3 linked regions of the Mus musculus genome follow. The protein of the gene in region 2 interacts with the protein of the main gene of each other region in a biochemical or structural test. Links are inferred from orthologs where the notes say so. Each region holds a gene or a part of one and is shown on either strand. Other genes may lie near its edges. The genes, in order: Taf3, H3f4 and Cbx1.

What was found.
Region 1: the proteins of H3f4 (region 2) and Taf3 form a complex in vitro, tested with the Homo sapiens proteins (2 studies listed by BioGRID, with this or other methods). The link is inferred for Mus musculus from reciprocal best matches to the Homo sapiens genes H3-4 and TAF3.
Region 3: the proteins of H3f4 (region 2) and Cbx1 interact in a test that uses a peptide from one of them, tested with the Homo sapiens proteins (3 studies listed by BioGRID). The link is inferred for Mus musculus from reciprocal best matches to the Homo sapiens genes H3-4 and CBX1.

Annotation. Positions count from the first base shown.
Region 1 is NC_000068.7:9,950,996-9,954,649, reverse strand, and holds part of Taf3 (transcription initiation factor TFIID subunit 3), read left to right. Parts: intron 1-1,704; coding exon 1,705-3,536; intron 3,537-3,654. UniProt on the Homo sapiens protein: The TFIID basal transcription factor complex plays a major role in the initiation of RNA polymerase II (Pol II)-dependent transcription.
Region 2 is NC_000077.6:58,960,181-58,962,896, forward strand, and holds H3f4 (predicted gene 12260), read left to right. Parts: upstream 1-1,530; 5' UTR 1,531-1,631; coding exon 1,632-2,042; 3' UTR 2,043-2,093; downstream 2,094-2,716. UniProt on the Homo sapiens protein: Core component of nucleosome. Nucleosomes wrap and compact DNA into chromatin, limiting DNA accessibility to the cellular machineries which require DNA as a template.
Region 3 is NC_000077.6:96,799,033-96,802,686, forward strand, and holds part of Cbx1 (chromobox protein homolog 1), read left to right. Parts: intron 1-1,738; 5' UTR 1,739-1,775; coding exon 1,776-1,915; intron 1,916-2,396; coding exon 2,397-2,574; intron 2,575-3,654. UniProt on the Homo sapiens protein: Component of heterochromatin. Recognizes and binds histone H3 tails methylated at 'Lys-9', leading to epigenetic repression. Interaction with lamin B receptor (LBR) can contribute to the association of the heterochromatin with the inner nuclear membrane.

The sequences.
Region 1 (3,654 bases), on a different chromosome or scaffold from region 2:
CCGTGGTTTCAGTATTAACAACAGCCTCTCATATCCCACTCTGGTTTTTGGAACTTCAGCATATTTTTGAGCTGCTCAGTCAACACCACTGGCTAAGTGTTGCTCAAGCTTTGTGTCTGGGATAGAGCTAAAAATCATCATTACTCTCCATTCGCCTTCCTGTTAACGACGGCCTTGGGCTTGTGTTAGACTCCAAGTCATATCTGAGCGTGTAGTGTCTGCTCACTGTCTAAAGAATGTCATCCACCTCTCCTGATTCCTGTCTGCTGCCATTTTCTAGTCTAGTCTCTTCACTCTTGCCTACACTGTGTTAGCCATACCCCTCATCTGTCCCTCCTTTTGGTGTCTGGCACCACCCACTCTGTCTACCATGTGTTTTGTTGAGGTAGTCTTGGGCATACTTGAGTGTAAAGTAGCAGAGTACAGAAGCCTCGTGACGTGGGTACAACCTTACTCAGCTTTCACTTATTCTGCCTTTCTCCTCCTCACATTCCAGACAAAGTATTCCTGTGTCTCAAGTCCTCCTTTTTACCACCTGAGCCTTTCATCCTGTACTCTGGCACTCCTGGCAATATTCTAATCACTGCATTATTCCTGAAGTCTCCCCCGTGGACAGCGACTCGTCCCCTTGTGCTTTGAACTCCTGGACAATTTGTCTGGGGTACCAGTTACCTTTCTGTGTGCCATACACACGCACTAGTGTAGGTCAGGAGTTGATTGTATAGTTCTTTCAGGCATTCTCATCATGCAGTATATGCTTACTGAATATGTACAGAACAGAAAGACAAGCTGGTCTTATAAGGACTAAGTCAAATAGGCAAGGCAAGTGTATCAGCTCCTTTTGAAAGGTCAGGAAACTTGCTCAAGGAGGTTCAGATTGCCTAAGGCCCATCATTCTGTAGGGCCAGACACTAACTAAACATAGTTTCAGATATCTGATCCAAGTTCCTCACACTGTACTATGCTGTCATTCCAGGGGTGGGTGGGGGTGGGGGTTGTACCTATAATCTGAATTGTGTACAGAGATTAAAATTTTTTGCACAAGTCTTTTTCATAAGACTAGGAAGATGTCTTAGTCAAGTAAAATGCTTGCCACAAAAGCATTTGGATCTGTATGTCCTCCACCATAACCCAGTCTCTCTCTTTTTTTTTTTTTTTTTTTTTTTTGGTTTTTCGAGGCAGGGTTTTTCTGTGTAGCCCTGGCTGTCCTGGAACTCACTTTGTAGACCAGGCTGGCCTCCAACTCAGAAATCCGCCTGCCTCTGCCTCCCAAGTGCTGGGATTAAAGGCATGTGCCACCATGTCCGGCATAACCCAGTCTCCTTAGATGGGTAAGATCCAGTTTCAGTGAGGGAGCCGATCTCAGCAAGCAACAGACAGACATCGGTGTCAGCCTCTGGCTTCTACACACATAAGCGTCTTTTAAAAGTGTGCCTTTCATTTCCGAGATTAGCGGTCATGAACACTGCTGTGTTTCTGAGGCCATGTGAGTGTTGGAAGGAGCGAGAGGAGCACAGAATAGGAGGTCACACTGGTCCTCTGTGTGGCCGTTTGTGAAAGGATGAAGAGCCTAGGCTGGGAAGACCTGGGAGGGCTCGTTGCTTTGTGTTCTGAACTTTGTTTCTCCCTTCCAAGAAGTGATGTTTGAAGACTAGGTTCTGTTTGTTGTATCCATTCTAATAGTGCCCTTTTCACCCTTTGCAGAGGAGGAAGAGGAACAGGTGCCCACTGATGGGGGCACCTCAGCAGAAGCCATGCAGGTGCCCTTGGAAGAAGATGATGAGATGGAGGAGGAGGAAGTCATCAATGATGAGAACTTCTTGGGTAAGAGGCCACTGGACAGTCCTGAAGTGGAAGAAATGCCCTCCATGAAGCGCCCACGACTCCTGAGCACTAAAGGGGACTCCCTAGATGTTGTGTTGTTAGAAGCACGAGAACCCCTCAGCTCTATAAACCCACAGAAGACCCCACCAGTGCTCTCTCCTGTGCGTGTCCAGGACAGGGCTGATCTGGCCCCTCCATCACCACAGCCTCCCATGCTGGCTCCATTTGCAAAGTCACAACTACCAATTGCAAAGCCGTTAGAAACAAAGTCGTTTACACCAAAAACAAAGACTAAAGCTAGCTCTCCAGGTCAGAAAACTAAGTCACCCAAGGCTGCCCTATCACCAGCAAGGCTTGGAAGTCCTATTCGGTCACCAAAAACCATCCCAAAAGAAAAGAAGTCACCTGGACGCTCCAAGAGCCCCAAGAGTCCTAAGAGCCCCAAGATTGTAGCTCATGTTCCCCAAACCCCTGTCAGACCTGAAACACCAAATAGGACCCCTTCAGCCATGGTGGTTGAAAAAACTGTTAAAGAGACCATCCCAGTGATGAAACCAACACAGACTCCCCCAGAAGTTGTGAAACTGAACATTGAAATGCAGCCGAAAAAGCCTGTGGTGACAGACAAAACCATCGATGACTCCATCGATGCTGTGATCGCACGTGCCTGTGCAGAGCGGGAGCCAGACCCTTTCGAGTTTTCTTCCGGATCGGAATCGGAAGGAGACACTTTTACAAGTCCTAAGAGGATTTCAGGCTCAGAGTGCGCCACTCCAAAAGCCTCCACTTCCTCCAATAACTTCACCAAGTCCCTGGCCACTCCTCTGCCTCTCTCCAGCGGAACCTCAAGTTCAGATAACTCGTGGACAATGGATGCCTCTATTGATGAGGTGGTACGGAAGGCAAAGCTGGGAGCCCCTTCCAACATGCCTCCCACCTTCCCATATATCTCTTCTCCCTCAATTTCTCCTCCCACTCCTGAGCCTCTACACAAGGGGTATGAGGAGAAAGCCAAGCTGCCTTCGTCTGTGGATGTAAAGAAAAAGTTGAAAAAAGAACTGAAGACTAAGTTGAAAAAGAAAGAAAAGCAGCGAGACAGAGAGAGGGAGAGAGAGAGAAACAAAGAAAGAAGCAAAGAGAAAGATAAAATGAGAGAGAGGGAGAAGGAGAAGGAGGCTGGAAAGGAACTTAAGTACCCGTGGAGGGAGCTGATGAAAGACGAAGATTCTGATCCCTATAAGTTTAAAATCAAAGAATTTGAAGACATTGATGCTGCGAAAGTGCGATTGAAAGATGGGATCGTGAGGAGAGAGCGAGAGAAACATAAGGACAAGAAGAAAGATCGAGAAAGAAGCAAGCGGGAGAAAGATAAGCGAGAAAGGGAAAGGCTTAAAGAAAAAAACAGAGAAGACAAGATAAAGGCCCCTCCAACACAGCTGGTGTTGCCCCCAAAAGAAATGGCACTGCCTTTGTTCAGCCCTTCAGCAGTGAGGGTCCCGGCCATGCTGCCGGCCTTCTCACCAATGCTCCCAGAAAAACTGTTTGAGGAAAAAGAGAAGCCCAAGGAGAAAGAAAGGAAAAAGGACAAAAAGGAGAAGAAGAAGAAGAAAGAGAAGGAGAAAGAAAAGGAGAAGAAAGAGAGGGAGAGGGAGAAGGAGAGAAGGGAGAGAGAGAAGAGAGAGAAGGAGAAGGAGAAGCACAAACATGAGAAGGTAAGCTGGGTGTCATTTTCACAGTCTGAACAAGGCCTTAGTGCAAACCGCAGGTAAACGCAGCCAGGGCTTAGAGCTGGGTTTTGGATGTAAATCGAGGGGCAGTTAGGTGACATTT
Region 2 (2,716 bases):
TCAAGCCCTGTGTGTGTCGCCGATGTCTCACAGGGTCGTACATTCCCAGAGGCAAGAGTTTCGGTTCTTTCTGAACGTGAAGCTATTTTCCCTGTCACTGTATCCATAAGCTGGCACTAGAGAGTGGCGCGGGCCGGGACGTCCCGGTTCCTGGGCACCACCAATGGACGACCCACGTCCTCCGGTTGGCGTAGCGCCTACCCGCGACCGCACACCGCAGGCACGGGCTCGGGATTCCCCGCTTTGGCGTTCACCGGCGTCAGTTTAAACTACACATACACGTTTGGAAGCAAAACACCATGATTGTCAGTGAGTTCTATTTTTTAACCAAATCCGTAAAGATGCACCACAGTTTGATTTCTATCCTTTTCTGGACTCACGTTTTTTGAAATTATGTGGACGACATTTCTCATCCTCTGACGTGATCTAAATAATCATTATTACTATTGTTTGATACCCTGATTGTGACCTTTGGGGGAATCCTTGAATACAGCCCATGTTATCCTTGAAAGCCTTTGCTTCAGAAATCCTTTTTTTTTTTTTTTTCCTAATTTTCTTTCAGATCTAAAGATGTTTTATTTTGTTTGATAAAGCGTCATTTCAGTGTACTCTAAGCCTCAAAATTATTATCCTTCTGATTCAGCTACCGAGTACTGAAGTTATAAGCATGGACTACTGTTCTTTGAGTCATATCTTCTAGTTTTTTTTTTTTTTTAATTAACGTACGTTAACTGTGCTTAGTAATGGGTTTCATTTTGATAACTTCACACACACACACACACACACACACACACACACACACACACACACACCAGCTCTCCCCTTTTTTTCCTCTTCCCTCTGGTCCCTTTCTCTCTATAAATACCACCCCGACCCCATTTTTATGCTTTTTTTTTTTTTTTTTTTTTAATCTAGCTTCCACATGCTAGAGAACCCATGCCATGCTTTTCTTCCTGCCTGGATCCAGCTTACTTAACACTGTGATCTTGAGTTCTTTCCATTGTTCCAGCAAACGACACAATTTCTTTTCGTTTTTCTCTTTATTTTTTTCCATCTCTACCCCTCCCTATTTTTAAAAAATAGTGTTAATACTATGTAGCCCTGGCTAACCTCAAACACACAGATATCCACCATCCTTTGCCTCCCGAGTCCTGGAATTAAGCTTAACTGCTGAGCTACCTCCAGCCCTCGCCCCCAGGGGCGTCCTCAGACCAGGTGGATGTTTTTTTAGTATTCCAGAACTCAGGAAAACTATGCCTCGTTGTTATATAAAGGAAGCATGCAGAAAGGTTCTAGAAGGTTCTTTGTGTCTTGGGAGTCGAGGCAAGATTGTTTTGTTTTTTTATTTAACAACAACAATAAAAGCTCCAAGAAAGCGACTTGAGTTTTTTCCACAGACCCCGCTGCCCTCCTACCGAGCCGCAACTAACAGTTCCAGAGTCCACACCACTCAGAGAGAATATAAGAGGCAGGGTGTAAAGTCAATCCCCCAATGGACCAATCAGAGTGCAGCATCCCATAATGCCACCTGGTGGGCAGCCAATAGGAATGTAGCTGGGTCTATAAAAGCAGTGCTACTCGCCCCCCACATTGTGCACCTGAGGAGCAAGGGAGGCGGACGATTCAGGAAGATGGCACGCACCAAGCAGACGGCACGGAAGTCGACGGGAGGCAAGGCTCCGCGCAAGCAGCTAGCCACGAAGGTGGCCCGCAAGAGCGCCCCGGCCACCGGGGGCGTGAAGAAGCCGCACCGCTACCACCCTGGCACGGTGGCGCTGCGCGAGATCCGGCGCTACCAGAAGTCCACCGAGCTGCTGATTCGCAAGTTGCCATTCCAGCGCTTGGTGCGTGAGATCGCCCAGGACTTCAAGACCGACCTGCGCTTCCAGAGCTCCGCGGTGATGGCGCTGCAGGAGGCCTGCGAGTCGTACCTCGTGGGGCTGTTCGAAGACACGAACCTGTGCGCTATCCACGCCAAGCGGGTGACCATCATGCCCAAAGACATCCAGTTGGCTCGGCGCATCCGCGGAGAACGGGCTTAGGCTCCCACAGGCACCGCTCATGAACCCAACGGCTCTTTTCAGAGCCACCCACAGAGTCAGAAAAAGTGTCTGTAACGTAGACTTAGGTGTCCTGTCTCCTCAGGAGGTGAAGACAAGGTGGCCGGCAATCGAAGTGTCTCCCCAGATCAGTCTAGAGGGCTTAGCAGCTAATCCTTGCCCATTGAGCTATTTGACTTGCAGCTCCGTCCTATTCTAACCTGCCTTCCCTTGATAGGTATAGTGGCCTGAGCCCTTGTACTACAAGATGATGGTTGTGTTGCTGACTGGTTTTACCAAGTGAAGGTAGCTCCTACCGGCAGTAAACGTGCTATGTTTGCATAGTTGATAGTATCCAAACGCATCTGCTCAGTAACCAAGTTACTTATGTTTTGTGTTTTAAGGCTCATAATGCCTGGTATTAAAAAGGCTAGCTATTCCTGTACTTGAAAAGTTGGCCTTTCTCCTGATGGAAAGCCCAGTGAACTGCCTTTGATTAAAGTTAATTTTGCCCATCTGTTAACGGCGGCAGCAAAAGAGTCAGGAAAGTGTTAACTTACATATTTCCAGGGGACACATCCAGAGAATCCTGTCTTAAACGATTCCTGTAGGGTACGAAAGTCTAGCTGTTGTCTTGACTCAACCTGAGTTGTAAGCAATAGGAACCTCTCTTATCA
Region 3 (3,654 bases), about 38 Mb from region 2:
CATGGTGGTACATGGGTGAGGGTCTGTCTGGAGTTGGTTCTCTCCTGCCACCTCTGGGATCTGAAGGTGGAATGCAGGTCTCTTCTGTATAACTGGCCCTGGGAAAGTTGGTGAGGAAATCAGTGTTCTTTCTTTTTTTTAAGAATTTTAAAAAATATTTATTTATTTATTATATGTGAGTACACTGTAGCTGTCTTTAGACACTCCAGAAGAGGGTGTCAGATCTCATTACAGGTCGTTGTGAGTCACCATGTGGTTGCTGGGAATTGAACTCGGGACCTTTGCACACACCTTTAATCCCAGCACTCGGGAGACAGGGGCAGGTGGATTTCTGAGTTTGAGGCCAGCCTGGTCTACAGAGTGAGTTCCAGGACAGCCAGGACATTACAGAGAAACCCTGTCTCGAAAAAAACCAAAAAAAAAAATAATAATAACAACAATAATAATAATAAAACTAAAGATCTGATATGGCTGTTTTGACTTTTTTTAAAGATTTGTTTGTTTATTTATTTATTTATTATATGTAAGTACACTGTAGCTGACTTCAGACACACCAGAAGAGGGCATCAGATCTCATTACGGGTGGTTGTAAGCCAATATGTGGTTGCTGGGATTTGAACTTTGGACCTTTGGAAGAACAGATGGGTGCTCTAACCCACTGAGCCATCTCTCCAGCCCCTGTTTTGACTTATTTAGTATCTTAAGTAACTTACTGTTGAGGCAGTTGTGACCATCTCTTGCTTGCCTTTCATGCATATTGCACGAAATGTGTTGAGTTATTTAGCCCTACATAAACTGGGTGTGACATTCTATAATCCTAGCACTCAGAGGTAGAAACAGGAGGATCTGAAGCTCATGGTCATCCTCTGCTATAGTTTGAGTTCCTGGTCAGCCTGGGGTACATGAGACCATCAGGCTCAGCCAAGCCCATGACCCACATGGTGCTGACTTCCATAAATTATCTCCTGATGTCCTTGACTCAATATACACATAGTAAAAGAATGTTTTAAGTTTGAGCCATGAATTTATGACTGTGTTCGAGAATAGCGGAGTGGAAAATAAAGGATTTTTTTTTTTTAAAGTTGGACATGGTAGCACACATCTGTAATCTCAGTACTTGAAAGGTAGAAACCAGATCAGAAGTTCAGTCAGCCTGGGCTATCTTTATGAGACCCTCTCTCCAAAAAGAAAGTTAGATAATAAAATATATATAACTGTGATTCAACATAGTATTTTAGGTACTATAGTTTATGGCAAGTGGTATTAGGAATTATTAGTATAAAAGTTGTAAATGGATATATTCAGAACCCCACCCCCCAGGTTTCTCTGTATATCTCCGGCTGTACTGGAACTGACTTTTGTAGACCAGGCTGGCCTCGAACTCAAAAATCCACCTGTCTCTCCTCCCAAGTGCTGGGATTAAATGTATATATCACCACTGCCTGGTCAGAAATTGTTCCCACACATTGTAGTATACACCTATAATTCCATCACTAAGAAAGCTGAGGACAGCTTGTCCAAAGGGAAAGAACAGAATAGACAATCATTCGCTATGAGATTAGTAATTGTGGCTTACCCCTAGCAAACATTACCATCATGGTTGTGAATTGGAGTTGAGCAGAGCATTGGATGCAGCATATGTCACCTGTGATTTCCCTGGGCTCCTCACCATCCAGATACTTACTTATCCAGCCAGGAAATGTGCCTGATGCCCTTTTTATTTCCTTTAATTGTTTAGCAGTGTCACCCTTCACACCAGAAAGCTGGCGGGTACTATGGGGAAAAAGCAAAACAAGAAGAAAGTGGAGGAGGTACTAGAAGAAGAGGAAGAGGAATATGTGGTGGAAAAAGTTCTTGATCGGCGAGTTGTCAAGGGCAAGGTGGAATATCTTCTAAAGTGGAAGGGTTTCTCAGAGTAAGTTTCATTGACACAGGTAAATTCGGTCACTATGAAAAATCATATATGCTTACTAGCAGTTCTGTGATGGGCATAACCTTGTTTCAGTACTGACCTCCACAGCTGATAGGACCTACATGCAGAGTATTATATGACTGAGTTTTTTGTCTTGTTTTAATATATTGGAGGAGGGGTGCCATGTAAATCCTGGGATGGAAGCCAGGTCTTCAGGCATGGCAAATGGCTCCTTTTCCCATTTAGGCATCCTGCCAGCCTAAGACATGGTTTCTGAGGATCAATTTGTATAGGATTGTCCACTTTTGCAAAATAGTTTTTCCTTGAAGAATGCAAGTTTCTAAGCCTTTGGTCTCTACCTTCCCCTACTAGGAAAGTCTAGCGATTGGTTATCATTTATCTCTCTTCCAAGACTAGCTCTTTCCTTAATATAAAGATGTTGATCTGAATGGAAAGTATAACTTGCTGTGCTTGCTGGTTTCAGTGAGGACAACACTTGGGAGCCAGAAGAGAATCTGGATTGCCCTGACCTTATTGCTGAGTTTCTACAGTCACAGAAAACAGCTCATGAGACAGATAAGTCAGAGGGAGGCAAGCGCAAAGCTGATTCTGATTCTGAAGATAAAGGAGAGGAAAGCAAACCAAAGAAGAAGAAAGAAGAGGTAAAGCTAGAACTAGTAATCTTCACTAGCCAGAGGCAGAGAATTCTAGCAGTTTGTTTCTACCTCCTCTTTCCTGTCTTCACCTTCTTTTTTTTTTTTTTATTTATTTTTTATTATTTTAGATAAGGTCTTGCATAGAAGCCTAGGCTGGCCTATAATTTTGTATCCCAAGTTTGCCTTAGACTTGTAGCAATTCTCCTTTCTTAGCCTTCTAAGTTTTGAGATAACAGGTCTAACTGTTGAGATTATGAGTACGAACTACCATACTGGACTTTCTTCCTTTGGATCTCAGAAGTCATGTCCTTTCTATCTGAAATAAGCTAATATTTTAAAGGGATTTTGGAGTCAACCTTGTACATAGCTGTAATCCTGGCATTTAGGAAGAAGAGGGAGGCAAGAGGATCAAGGATAAGAGACCTGAACTGCAGGAGACCTTGTCTCAGCAAAATATAACAAAACTAAAAAGGATTTGGGGCTTGCTCTTATACAGTGATCTTACTTTTCATCCATGGTGCAGAAATAACAACATGTAACGGTTATTGGAGACTTATCAGATTCATTTCCTGTCACTAGACAGTTTTTGGTGTTTTGATCATTAAATATTTGAGGTAGTCTCTCCCACTCTACAGTGTGAGTTCCAGGAGAGCCAGGACTACACACAGAAAAACTCTGTTTTAAAAATAAAATAAAAGCCGGGCGGTAGAGGCGTCCGCCTTTAATCCCAGTACTTGGGAGGCAGAGGCAGGCAGATTTCTGAGTTGGAGGCCAGCCTGGTCTACAAAAGTGAGTTCCAGGACAGCCAGGATATACAGAGAAACCCTGTCTCGAAAAAAAACAAAACAAAATAATAACAAAACTAAAGATTTGATATGGCTGTTTTGACTTACTTAGTATCTCAAGTAACTTACCGTTGAGGCAGTTGTGACCATCTCTTGCTTGGGGTGTATATCCTGTTGATGCTGGGAGGACCTCGGGTATCATGTACTTCAGACTTCTGGTACATGGTGTGGGAAGCAAAGGAAGCCCTGAGTGAATGTTGCATTACATCTCTTAAAAATAAATAACTTAGTTCTGAATATA